3 linked regions of the Macaca mulatta genome follow. The protein of the gene in region 1 interacts with the protein of each later gene in a biochemical or structural test. Links are inferred from orthologs where the notes say so. Each region holds a gene or a part of one and is shown in the gene's direction. Other genes may lie near its edges.

Region 1 (3,645 bases):
GCTACTCGGGAGGCTGAGGCAGGAGAATGGCGTGAACCCGGGAGGCGGAGCTTGCAGTGAGCTGAGATCCGGCCACTGCACTCCAGTCTGGGCGACAAAGCGAGACTCTGTCTCAACAAAAAAAAAAAAAAAAGAAAATGCAGAAATCACCGGTCTTCTGTGTCGCTCGTGCTGGGAGTTGGAGACTGGAGCTGTTCCTATTCGGCCATCTTGCTCCAAGAGTGTTTTCTTTTGGGGAATACTAAGGAGCCCCTGGGAGGAATGACCACAGCGGAAGCAAGCCCTGTAGTTACAGGCATTAATTCAGTAGATACACAGGGAGTGGCGAGTGTGTACCAGACACTGTTCTAATGGACAGAACATACCCAAGTCTTTTTGCCTTTATGAGTTTATATTCTAGTGCAGGGGTGTTCAATCTTTTGGCTTCCCTGGGCCACATAGGAAGAAAACGACTGTCTTAGGCCGCACATAAAAAACAGTAACACTAATGATAGCTGATGAGCTAAAACAAAAATTGCAAACAAAACTCATAATGTTTTAAGCTTTATGAATTTGTGTTGGGTCGCATTCAAAGCTGTTGTGAGCCACATGTGGGCTGCAGGTGGGACAAGCTTGTTCTAGTGGGTAGAGACACATAATAGATGGAATAAACAGTGAATGTATGTAGGTGTTAAGAAGGGAAACAGGAAATAGCTAGGTGTTTAGAATAGGGAAGTTGGGGTCTGGCTCATGAAAAGATCCCTTGCAGTGGTGGTCTCAGCCACTTGCAGTACAACTAGGCCTTCCTGCTTAGAACTCACACTTCGGTCATCACTCTGACTATTTCCTGGTCTACATTCTTGATTTTTTTGTTGTTGTTGAGACGGAGTCTCACTCTGTTGCCCAGGCTGGAGTACAGTGGAGTGATCTTGGCTCACTGCAACCTCTGCCTCCTGGGTTCAAGTGATTCTCCTGCCTCAGCCTCTGAGTAGCTGGGATTACAGGTGCCTGCCACCACGCCCAACTAATTTCTGTATTTTTAGTAGAGATAGAGTTTCACTGTGTTGGCCAGTCTGGTCTCGAACTCCTGACTTCAGGTGATCTGCCCGCCTCGGCCTTCTAAAGTGCTGAGATTATAGGTGTGAGCTACTGCGCTCAGTCCCTTGAAGATTTTTTATGATTTCCTCCTCTATGCTATTTATTTTCAACCATTCATGTACCCTTTTGAAGCTTGTTTATTTTAGGGATCTGCTGTGTACCAGCATATATGCCTGCCATTTTATTGAATTCCTTTCCAGTCCTTTCAGTAACCCTCTGCAATGGGTATTACCATCCCCGTTTTACAGTGGTAGAAACTCAGTCTTTAACTCATCAGGATTCAAACCCACATCTGACTCCAAAGCCTCCTCTGCCCTTTCTTCTCTTCCCCAGTGCTTTTTTCACTCACTAGGTCACCAAAGTGCTTATTCTTAGACACTTGTAAAAGGACATTTTCTGTTGATTATGAACCTCTAACTTTGTTTTAAAAGTGTGCCACGTCCCAAGGGTCTTATGTATTTATTTATTTTCCTAGAGTAAACCTGGGCTTTTGTTTTCTTCCCTTTAGATGCTCTGCTTCTGTACTGCCAGTGGATGTGCAGACACTAAACGCATCTGGGCCACCGTTTGGAAAACTAGTGGTTCAGAGTTCCATAGATTCTAGTGCATTCAAGCACAATGGCACGGTTGAATGTAAGGCTTACAACGATGTGGGCAAGACTTCTGCCTATTTTAACTTTGCATTTAAAGGTAACAACAAAGGTATATTTCTTTTTAATCCAATTTAAGGGGATGTTTAGGCTCTGTCTACCATATCAATCATGATTTTAAGTTCATTCCAACATTGACCATGTCATTTCTGGTAATACGTACATCACACCATACTGTCATCAAACTCGCTATGTTTCATTTTGTACTAGCTTGTTAAGTATATGTTTTTACCAGAGCACTTTTAACCATGCTACTTTATATATTTTATATGTATGTGCGCCTCTTTTATATTAGTTGTATATTTACAATTGTCTCCATTAAAAAGGGGTAGAGAAAGCAAATGGGGGGGAATATATTTACCTTACACCCAAACAGAATTAGAACAATCTAACATTTAAATTCAATTAAAAATTTCAATTATTTAAAGTGAATTATTTTAACACTTTGCCAGACACTGTATCCAAAAGTTAACACTGCCTTTATGAAGTCATGTTAGCAAGTTATTTCTTTAAAATATTTAAAATTTGATTCATGTGTGACTAACTCTCTTAACATAAGTTAAAAGTTCCTTGTGGGCAAATTGCTGAATTGGTACAAAGTGGGAAGACAAAGAAAGTGGGCACTTACTTTTTAGGCCTTCTTGGGTTTTGTTTGTTTTTTGTGTTTTTTTTGTTTGTTTTGTTTGTTTGTTTGTTTGTTTTTTTGAGTCAGCAAAGACTAGTGCCAAAAAGTGGCGTATTTTCTCAGGTTTTGAGTAATGAGGGGAAGAATCTTCCATTGTTCTACATCATCGATTTTTCAGACGGGGCAACGAAAAGCATACCTTAAAAATGGTGTTTTTTTTTTGTTGTGAAAGACATTCATGCTCAGTGTAGAAAATTTAGAAAATACAGGAAAGTGTAAAGAAGAAAATATAAACCATCCATAAAGGAAGCTTCTTTTTAAAAGTTGTACAAGGCAGGGATTTGATTGAAGTACAAAGTGCATTCAGATGTTGCTTTTCATTGAAAAACAGCATAAATTATTCCTTTTCTACAGAAATCTCAACTTCTATTCTGCAGTATTCTGGTTTCAAGTTATATTTTTAAAGATTCATTTGAATAACAAGAGTACGATGTAACCAAGGTGAAGCTCTGAGAGTCACATAGCTTTGCTTCCTGCCATGGGCTGTGAGTTGGGAGGTCAGTTTGGGAATGAGTGGCTGTGGTAGAGATCCCATCCTGCCAAAGTTTGTGATTCCACATTTCTGTTTGATTTTAGAGCAAATCCATCCCCACACCCTGTTCACTCCTTTGCTGATTGGTTTTGTAATCGTAGCTGGCATGATGTGCATTATTGTGATGATTCTCACCTACAAATATTTACAGGTAACCATTTATTTGTTCTCTCTCCAGAGTGCTCTAATGACTCCGACAATAATTCTTAAAAGGTGATCCATTTTCCCCTTTCTCCCCACAGAAACCCATGTATGAAGTACAGTGGAAGGTTGTTGAGGAGATAAATGGAAACAATTACGTTTACATAGACCCAACACAACTTCCTTATGATCACAAATGGGAGTTTCCCAGAAACAGGCTGAGTTTTGGTCAGTATGAAACAGGGGCTTTCCATGTCACCTTTTTGGGTACACATAACAATGACTTTAAGGAACTCCAGTAGCTTCCTTTGTTTTGTTCCACCTGAAACAATGAGTTTTCTGTGAAATTGCACCCCTTTTGATAGGTTTGGCATAGAGAACATTGTAGGAAAATGTCTCTAGACAAAATTGTTTTTAATTCCTTTATTGATTTTGAAACTACATAAATGATCCTTCAATTCCACCACCAGCACCACCACCACTTACCTTGTTGTCTTCCTTCCTACAGGGAAAACCCTGGGTGCTGGCGCTTTTGGGAAGGTTGTTGAGGCAACTGCTTA
Region 2 (3,645 bases), on another chromosome or scaffold:
TTTCACCATGTTGGCCAGGCTGGTTTCGAACTCCTGACCTCAGGTGATCTGCCCACTTCAGCCTCCCAGAGTGCTGGGATTACAGGTATGAGCTGCTGCGCCTGGCCCGTTTTATATTTATTTTATAGACACCAATAATATACTCTCATTGCAACATGGAAATAACAATAATAGCAGACAGTCTTTCTTAAGCATTTTCTATGTTCTAGGGCTTTATGTCTATCAATTCATGCTCATAATATGCCTATGAAGTAGGCATGATCATGGTTCCCCTCTTACAGATGGGGAAACTGAGGCAGAGTAGTAGTCACATAAGTCACTTAAGGTCCCATAACCAATAAGTAGTGGTTGCTGGGCTTTTTTTTTTTTTCGAGACAAGGTCTTGCTCTGTAACCCAGGCTGGAGTGCAGTGGCACCATCTCAGCTCACTGCAACCTCCACCTCCTGGATTCAAGCATTTCTCCTGCCCCAGCCTCCTGAGTAGCGGGACTACAGGTACGCGCCACCACAGCCAGCTAATTTTTTTTATTTTCAGTAGGGATGGGGTTTCACCATGTTGGCCGGGCTGGTCTCTACCTCCTGAACTCAAGTAATCCACCCACCTGGGCCTCCCAAAGTGCTGAGATTACAGGCATGAGCCACCGCGTCTGGCTGGTGCTGGGATTTGAATCCACATTCCAGAATCTGTGTTCTTAGCCATCCTTGCTAGAGATAAGTAGTAGCAAGCTTCTTGGTTTCTTCCCCGCCATCCCTACCATCCCCACACCCCAATTCTGATTCCTCCCCAGAAATACTCACTGTTTCAGGATGGGTTTGTTTCTGCCAGACCTTTCTTGCCCACCATTTACAAAATGTTTGTGTACACATAAACATTAGTAGTTTGGTTTTATGTATGTTCATGTTAATGGGATCGTCTAGCGTGTCTTGTTCTGCTGTTTGCTTTTTCACTTAGTGAATAGCCCTGCCCTGGAGCTCTCTCAGAGGTGGGGGGGTGGGTCTTCCTCACCCTTTCCCCCTGCTGCAGAGTCTTCCAGCCTATAGATGGGCCAGATTCTTTCATCAGTCTCCAACTGGGGGCATTTAGGTTGTCTCTTAGAGTTTTTCCCCATTATAAATGTTGCAGCAGGAAATATGTAGCAGGGAGCAAGTATTTCTCTTGAATACTTAAAAGTGGGATTCCTAGAGCCTAATTGCTCTGACTAGGACTGTCAGTACTGTGTTAAATAGAAGTGACCAGAGTGGGCATCCTTTTCTCATCCCTGGCCTTAAAGGAAAAGTTGTCAACTTTTCACCATTAAGTGCAGTGTTAGCTGTGTGCTTATCATGTAGGGTCTTTATTTTATTTATTTATTTGTTTTTTGAGACAGGGTCTCATTCTGTTGCCTGGGCTGGAGTTCAATGGCTGATCATGGCTTACTGCAGCCCTGACTTCCTCAGGCTCCCAAGTAGTTAGGACTACAGGTGCGAGTGCTACAATGCCAACTCATTTTTGTGTTTGTCTTTTTGGAGAGATGGGCTTTTGCCATGTTGCCCAGGCTGGTCTCAAACTGGGCTCAAGCGATCTCCTGCCTCAGCCTCCCAAAGTGGTGGGATTACAGGCGTGAGCCTCCGAGCTCAGCCTTTATATAGGGTCAGTGTGTTAAGTACAACATATCATCTATGCTTAATTTGTTGAAAGTTTTTATAATAAAGTTATGTTGAATTTTGTCAAATACTCTCCCTGCATCTATTGAAATGATAATACGGTTTTTGTCCTTCAAAAGCAGGATTCCAGAGTCTAGAATCAATTCTGCCAAGTTGGCCATGCCCCTTACAGAATGCCACTTGGTAGGAGAGTGTGTGTTTCCCTGCATCTTCACCAGCACTGGGTGTTATGGTCGTGTCGGATTTCTGCTGTGGTTCGCGGTGTGTGACGGGCCGTCACCTGCTTGCCCACCTGCTCACTCCTTGTCGCCCCCCCACCCACATGTCTTTCAGCCCCGCCGCACCACCTGGGTCTCCACCATGAACGGGCCTGCCCTGCAGCCCTCCTCGGCCTCCTCCCCGCCCTCGGCCTCCCCGGCGCCGGCCCCGCGGGGCTGGAGCGAGTTCTGTGAGTTGCACGCCGTGGCGGCGGCCCGGGAGCTGGCCCGCCAGTACTGGCTGTTCGCTCGCGAGCATCCGCAGCACGCGCCGCTGCGTGCGGAGCTGGTGTCGCTGCAGTTCACCGACCTCTTCCAGCGCTACTTCTGCCGGGAGGTGCGCGACGGCCGCGCACCGGGCCGCGACTACCGGGACACAGGCCGTGGGCCCCCCGCCAAGGCTGAGGCGTCCCCGGAGCCAGGCCCCGGCCTCGCCGCCCCTGGCCTGCCCAAGGCCCGCAGCTCTGAGGAACTGGCCCCGCCGCGGCCGCCCGGGCCCTGCTCCTTCCAGCACTTTCGCCGCAGCCTCCGCCACATCTTCCGCCGCCGCTCGGCCGGGGAGGTGCCAGCGGCCCACACCGCTGCCGCCGTCGGGACCCCCGGAGAGGCTGCTGAGACCCCCGCCCGGCCCGGCCTGGCCAAGAAGCTCCTGCCCTGGAGCCTGGCCCGGGAGCCGCCACCCGAGGCGCTGAAGGAGGCGGCGCTGCGCTACAGCCTGGCCGACGAGGCCTCCATGGACAGCGGGGCGCGCTGGCAGCGTGGTAGGCTGGCGCTGCGCCGGGCGCCGGGCTCCGATGGCCCAGATGGCCCCGACCGCGTGCTGGAGCTCTTCGACCCACCCAAGGTAAGTAAGCCCTGCTCGCGGGGTTGCGCACTGTGCCGCGCCCTTCGCCTTCACCCTGGGGAGAGAGCCGGCTGGGGAGGTGTGATGGCTTTCCAGCTGGTGGCCACAGAGTGCCCAGAGGGAACTAGGCCCTCTTAAAAAAGAACTTTTAGGCCAAGTGCAATGGCTCACGCCTGTAATCCCAGCACTTTGGGAGGCCGAAGCAGGAGGATCACTTGAGCCCAGGACTTCGAGACCAGCTTGGGCAGCTTAGCGAGACCCTATCTCTATAAAAAATTAGCCAGGTGTGGTGGTGCGTGCCTGTGGTCCCAGCTGCTCAGGAGGCTGAGAAGGGAGGATGACTTGAGCCCACGAGGTGGAGGCTGCAGTGAGCCGTGATCATGCTACCACACTCCAAGCCTGGGTGACAGAGTAAGACCCTGTCTCTAAATAAATAAAATAAAAAAGAACTTTTTATTTTTGAATTTTAGATTTACAGGCCAGGTGCAGTGGGTCATGCCTGTAACTCCAGCACTTTAGGAGGCCAAGGTGGGCAGATCATTTGAGGCCAGGGGTTCAAGACCAGCCTGGGCAACATAGTGAATCCCTGTTTCTACTAAAAATATAAAAAATTAGCTGGGCACAGTGGCGCACACCTATAATCCCAGCTACTTGAGAGGCTGAAGCAGGAGAATCACTTGAACCTGGGAGGGAAGGTTACAGTGAACCAAGATCACACCACTGTAGTCCAGCCTTGGTGACAGAGTGAGAGTTGGTCTCAAAAAAAAAAAAAAAAAAATTTTAGACTTACAGGAGAGTTGCAAAGATAGTAGTGTTCCTTTACACATGGTACCCAGCTTCACCGAAGGTTCATATCTTACGCTGCTGTGTACATTGGTTGTAGCTAAGGAACCAGCACTG
Region 3 (4,399 bases), on another chromosome or scaffold:
CTTCAATGAGTTATATGGGCATCAATCAAGTAAAAAAACTCTACTCTTCTCAATCTGGTCTGAGTCACCATTATTCCCAGACCAGAATACTACAGTATTCCCGTATTTTGACTGGCTTCTCCGTTTCTGGCCTTGCCCTCTTCCTCGAGCTTCACAGTGTCCAAAATAATACTTCCCCACCACCCAGCTTTTTCGTTTGTTTGTTTTTTGTTTTAGAGACAGGGTCGTGCCATGTTGCCCCGGCTGATCTTGAACTCCTAGGCTCAAGCAATCCTCCTGCCTCGGCCTCCCAAAGTGCTGGGATGAAGGTGTGAGCCACCATACCTGGCCTGAGTGCAGTGGCCTGATCTCGGCTCACAGCAGCCTCGACCCTCCAGGCTCAAGCAATTCTCTCACCTCAGCCTCCCGAGTAGCTGGGACTACAGGCGCGTGACACCACGCCCGGCTAATTTTTGTATTTTTTGTAGAGATGGGATTTCACTATTTTGCCGGGGCTGGTTCCCAACTCCTGGACTCAAGCGATTCGCCCGCCTCAGCCTCCCAAAGGGAAGTGCTGGGATTTCAGGCGTGTGCCACTGCTCCCACCCCAAAGTAGTATTTGTTATTATTATTATCGAGACGGAGTTTGGCTCTATTGCAGGCTGGAGCGCAGTGGTGCGACCTCGGCTCACTGCAACCTCTGCCTCCCAGGTTCAAGCGATTCTCCTGCCTCAGCCTCCCAAGTAGCTGAGATTACAGGCGAACGCCACCACGTCCAGCTCATTTTTGAATTTTTAGTGGAGACCATGTTGGCCAGGATGGTCTCGATCTCTTGACCTCGTGATCCGCCCGCCTCGGCCTCCCAAAGTGCTGGGATTACGGGCGTGAGCCACCGCGCCCGGTCTATTACTAGTTTTTTTAGGCAGTGTCTTGCTGTCGCCCAGGCTGGAGGGCAGTGGCGTGATCACGACTCACTGCAGCACCGACTTCCCGGGCTTAAGTTATCCTCCCGCCGCAGCCTCCACGCCTGGCTAGGGTTTTGCATTTTTTGTAGAGATGAGGTCTTTTTTGCCCAGGCTGGCCTCTAGCTCCTAGGCTTAAGCGACACTCTTGCTGCAGCCTCCTAAATTGTTGGGGTTACGGGCGTGAGCCACCGCGCCCAGCCTAATGGAGGAAACTGAGGCTCGGAGACAGTAGGTAATTTCCCCAAGGTTCCACAGCTAATGAGTCGAGTGGCGATTTGTGGAACGAAATGAATGAAATCGATGTGGCAGTGGGCCCGGACGCGCCCGGTCGGTGGAGTGGCGTAGCCGCCGAGCGCGCAGCTCACACCCGGCGGCCGCGATTTCCGGGAGGAAGCAAGGATGCTTTGGACGCTGCGCTTAGCGCCTCCGCGGAACCCCCGCGCTGCCATTCCCGGCCGTGGCTCCGTCCTCGGCTAACGGGAAGCAGGAAGTGGCGGCGGGCGTCGCTAGCGGTGACATCACGGGGGCGACGGCGGCGAAGGGCGGGGGCGGAGGAGGAGCGAGCCGGGCTGGGGGGCGGCTGCACAGTCTCCGGGATCCCCAGGCCTGGAGGGGGGTCTGTGCGCGGCCGGCTGGCTCTGCCCCGCGTCCGGTCCCGAGCGGGCCTCCCTCGGGCCAGCCCGATGTGACCGAGCCTAGTGGAGCTTGAGCAAGGAGCGGGTCCGTCGCGGAGCCGGAGGGCGGGAGGAACATGACATCGCGGAGGTGAGGAGCCCCGAGGGGCCCGGCCCGGGCCTCGGCCCGGCCCCCGCCGCATTCGGTCAGCCCCGTCCGGAAGGGGGCGCCCCGGCCGGGCTTCGGGCTCCCGCCCCGGATCGGGATTGGGGGCCAGTTCCCTCCTCGTCCCCTGTCCCTCCTCGGCCCGGGGGCCGGCCCCACCGCGCCCCCACCCCTTGGGTCCCCATTCATTTCCTGCCTCCCTGAGTTCCGGCTGCGGCAGCCCGGGGGATGCCCGTCAGGCCTGGGGCAGGTAGAGCCGCCTAGGGAACCACGGGCGCCAGCGGCCCGGCTCAGCGCCGCATTCCTGACCCATTGCCTCATGAGAATTGCCTCATGGTGATTCCGAAATAACCCTGCTCACTTGGGGAGGCTCCTTGGGACACGAGATGGGAGTTGCGCGGGGCCGGGCCCCCAGTGGTCTAGTCGTTCTGGGTCACTGTGCCACTTGCGTGCATTTGGGGTCTTAACGAAGGACCCCTGACCCTTTTATGTGCCCCTTTGTGTCTTCTTTTTCTCCCACCCCTCACGTGCCAGAAATGGAAAAACTGACTGTATCTGCAGCCACTAGAAGTATTTCCTTCCTTTGCGATATTCGCTTTGGGAGATGGAAAGGAAGGGAGCCGCATCTCGTTATTTAATCCTTCACTGCAACCTTAACAGTCAGGTCACTTTACTGGTACCCGTTTTATGGATGAGGAAACCGAGGCCCAGAAGCAACATGCTAGTAAATGACAAGATTTGAAACTAAGGAGAATTAGTGAGTTAATGAGATCCTTTGAAAGATCAGGGTAATATTACTACTAATAGCTAACATTTGCTTAATTCTGACGACAGCCCTCTCAGATGGCTACTATTATCCCCATTGTAAAGATGAGTAAACCGAGTTTCGGAGAGGTTAAGTAGATTGCTTAACCTCACAGCTAGTAGGTGGTGGAGACAGAATCCCTACTTTTAATCACTATGTTGCTTCTATTATTTTGTAACTATTGCTAACCACTTGTAAGCCTTAATTTTGTTGTCAAACAGTAGTGTGACTTGTTTTCAGATAATGATCCTGCTATTTTATATAATCACTCTATATACCACTCACACTTAAGACCCATTGTCTATTCTTTTCCATGGTTGTTCAATTATGGTCACTGTCTCAGACATTTAAAAAACGATTCAAGCTATTGAGGCTATTTGAATGAGATTTTTTTTTCTTTCTTTTTTTTTCTCTTTTTTTGAGACGGAGTCTCACTCTGTTAACAGCCCAGGCTGGAGTGCAGTGGCACGATCTCGGCTCACCACAACCTCCGCCTCCTAGGTTCAAGCGATTCTCCTGCCTCAACCTCCCAAGTAGCTGGGACTATCGGCATGCCACTATGCCTGGCTAATTTTTTTTTTTTTTTTTTTTGAGACGGAGTCATGCTCTGTCGCCCAGGCTGGAGTGCAGTGGCCGGATCTCAGCTCACTGCAAGCTCCGCCTCCCGGGTTCACGCCATTCTCCTGCCTCAGCCTCCCAAGTAGCTGGGACTACAGGCGCCCGCCACTTCGCCCTGCTAGTTTTTTGTATTTTTTAGTAGAGACGGGGTTTCACTGTGTTAGCCAGGATGGTCTCCATCTCCTGACCTCGTGATTCGCCCGTCTCGGCCTCCCAAAGTGCTGGGATTACAGGCTTGAGCCACTGCGCCCGGCCTAATTTTTTTTTTTGAAACAGAGTCTCGCTCTCTTGCCCAGGCTGGAGTGCCGTGGCGCAATCTCGGCTCACTACAAGCTCCGCCTTCTGGGTTCAAGCCATCCTCCTGCCTCAGCCTCTCAAGTAGCTGGGACTACAGGTGCCCGCCACGACGTCTGGCGAATGTTTTGTATTTTTAGTAGAGACGGGGTTTCACCATGTTAGCCGGGATGGTCTCGATCTCCTGACCCTGTGATCCGCCCGCCTCGGCCTCCCAAAGTGCTGGAATTACAAGCATGAGCCACCGTGCCCGGCCGAGTTTTGTATTTTTAGTAGAGACGGGGTTTCACTATGTTGGCCAGGTTGGTCTTAAACTCCTGACCTCGAGATCCGCCTGCCTCGGCCTCCCAAAGTGCTGGAATTACAGGCGTGAGCCACCGCACCCGGCCTGAATGAGATTTTTCAAAATATTAGGAATGTCTCCTCCAAACAGACCTGGCATGTTATTCTTACATGGATCTGGAATTTAAAAAGGGGAGAAAAAAGAAAACAGAACTCGTAGGAAGTGAGTGACTTGGACAGGTCTGTTGGCAAGTGCTTGCGGATCTGGGTAATATATAACTGCATTTCAACGGAACAGTGTATAGCCTCAAATGTTCTAATTCTTTAGGGAGCTTTTAAATAAACAGTTGTCTATTCTTTAATCTGTCTAATAGTCATTGAGCCTTTTGTTCCTGGTGTCTGCTCTTCCAGACAAGTAAGGATTTGCTGCTTTAGGGGGCTGAGGGTTGGGAAAAGATCTGTGTAGTAATAGACCCTACATTGTACAGTTTGTTAGTTTAGAAGCATGGAAGTGTGGGCATAGTCAAAGCAGCAAGTGGTAAAGATGACAGTTTGAAATGGAGTTGTTCCTTTTCCCCTCCAGCCCTGGTATTGTGTACCACCCAAAAAGCCAGATTATGAACATAATACACAGAATTTTGAATGATTTATCATTTTTTAGATTATAAGTCTGTTT

The links.
Region 2: the proteins of KIT (region 1) and SH2B3 form a complex in vitro, tested with the Homo sapiens proteins (2 studies listed by BioGRID and IntAct, with this or other methods). The link is inferred for Macaca mulatta from reciprocal best matches to the Homo sapiens genes KIT and SH2B3.
Region 3: the proteins of KIT (region 1) and PTPN11 form a complex in vitro, tested with the Homo sapiens proteins (3 studies listed by BioGRID and IntAct, with this or other methods). The link is inferred for Macaca mulatta from reciprocal best matches to the Homo sapiens genes KIT and PTPN11.

Annotation. Positions count from the first base shown.
Region 1 is NC_133410.1:78,765,688-78,769,332, reverse strand, and holds part of KIT (mast/stem cell growth factor receptor Kit), read left to right. Parts: intron 1-1,585; coding exon 1,586-1,779; intron 1,780-2,988; coding exon 2,989-3,095; intron 3,096-3,186; coding exon 3,187-3,313; intron 3,314-3,593; coding exon 3,594-3,645. UniProt on the Homo sapiens protein: Tyrosine-protein kinase that acts as a cell-surface receptor for the cytokine KITLG/SCF and plays an essential role in the regulation of cell survival and proliferation, hematopoiesis, stem cell maintenance, gametogenesis, mast cell development, migration and function, and in melanogenesis.
Region 2 is NC_133416.1:118,611,668-118,615,312, forward strand, and holds part of SH2B3 (SH2B adapter protein 3), read left to right. Parts: intron 1-1,977; 5' UTR 1,978-2,004; coding exon 2,005-2,745; intron 2,746-3,645. UniProt on the Homo sapiens protein: Links T-cell receptor activation signal to phospholipase C-gamma-1, GRB2 and phosphatidylinositol 3-kinase.
Region 3 is NC_133416.1:119,657,060-119,661,458, forward strand, and holds the start of PTPN11 (tyrosine-protein phosphatase non-receptor type 11), read left to right. Parts: upstream 1-1,509; 5' UTR 1,510-1,695; coding exon 1,696-1,709; exon of another isoform or gene 1,710-2,981; intron 2,982-4,399. UniProt on the Homo sapiens protein: Acts downstream of various receptor and cytoplasmic protein tyrosine kinases to participate in the signal transduction from the cell surface to the nucleus. Positively regulates MAPK signal transduction pathway. Dephosphorylates GAB1, ARHGAP35 and EGFR.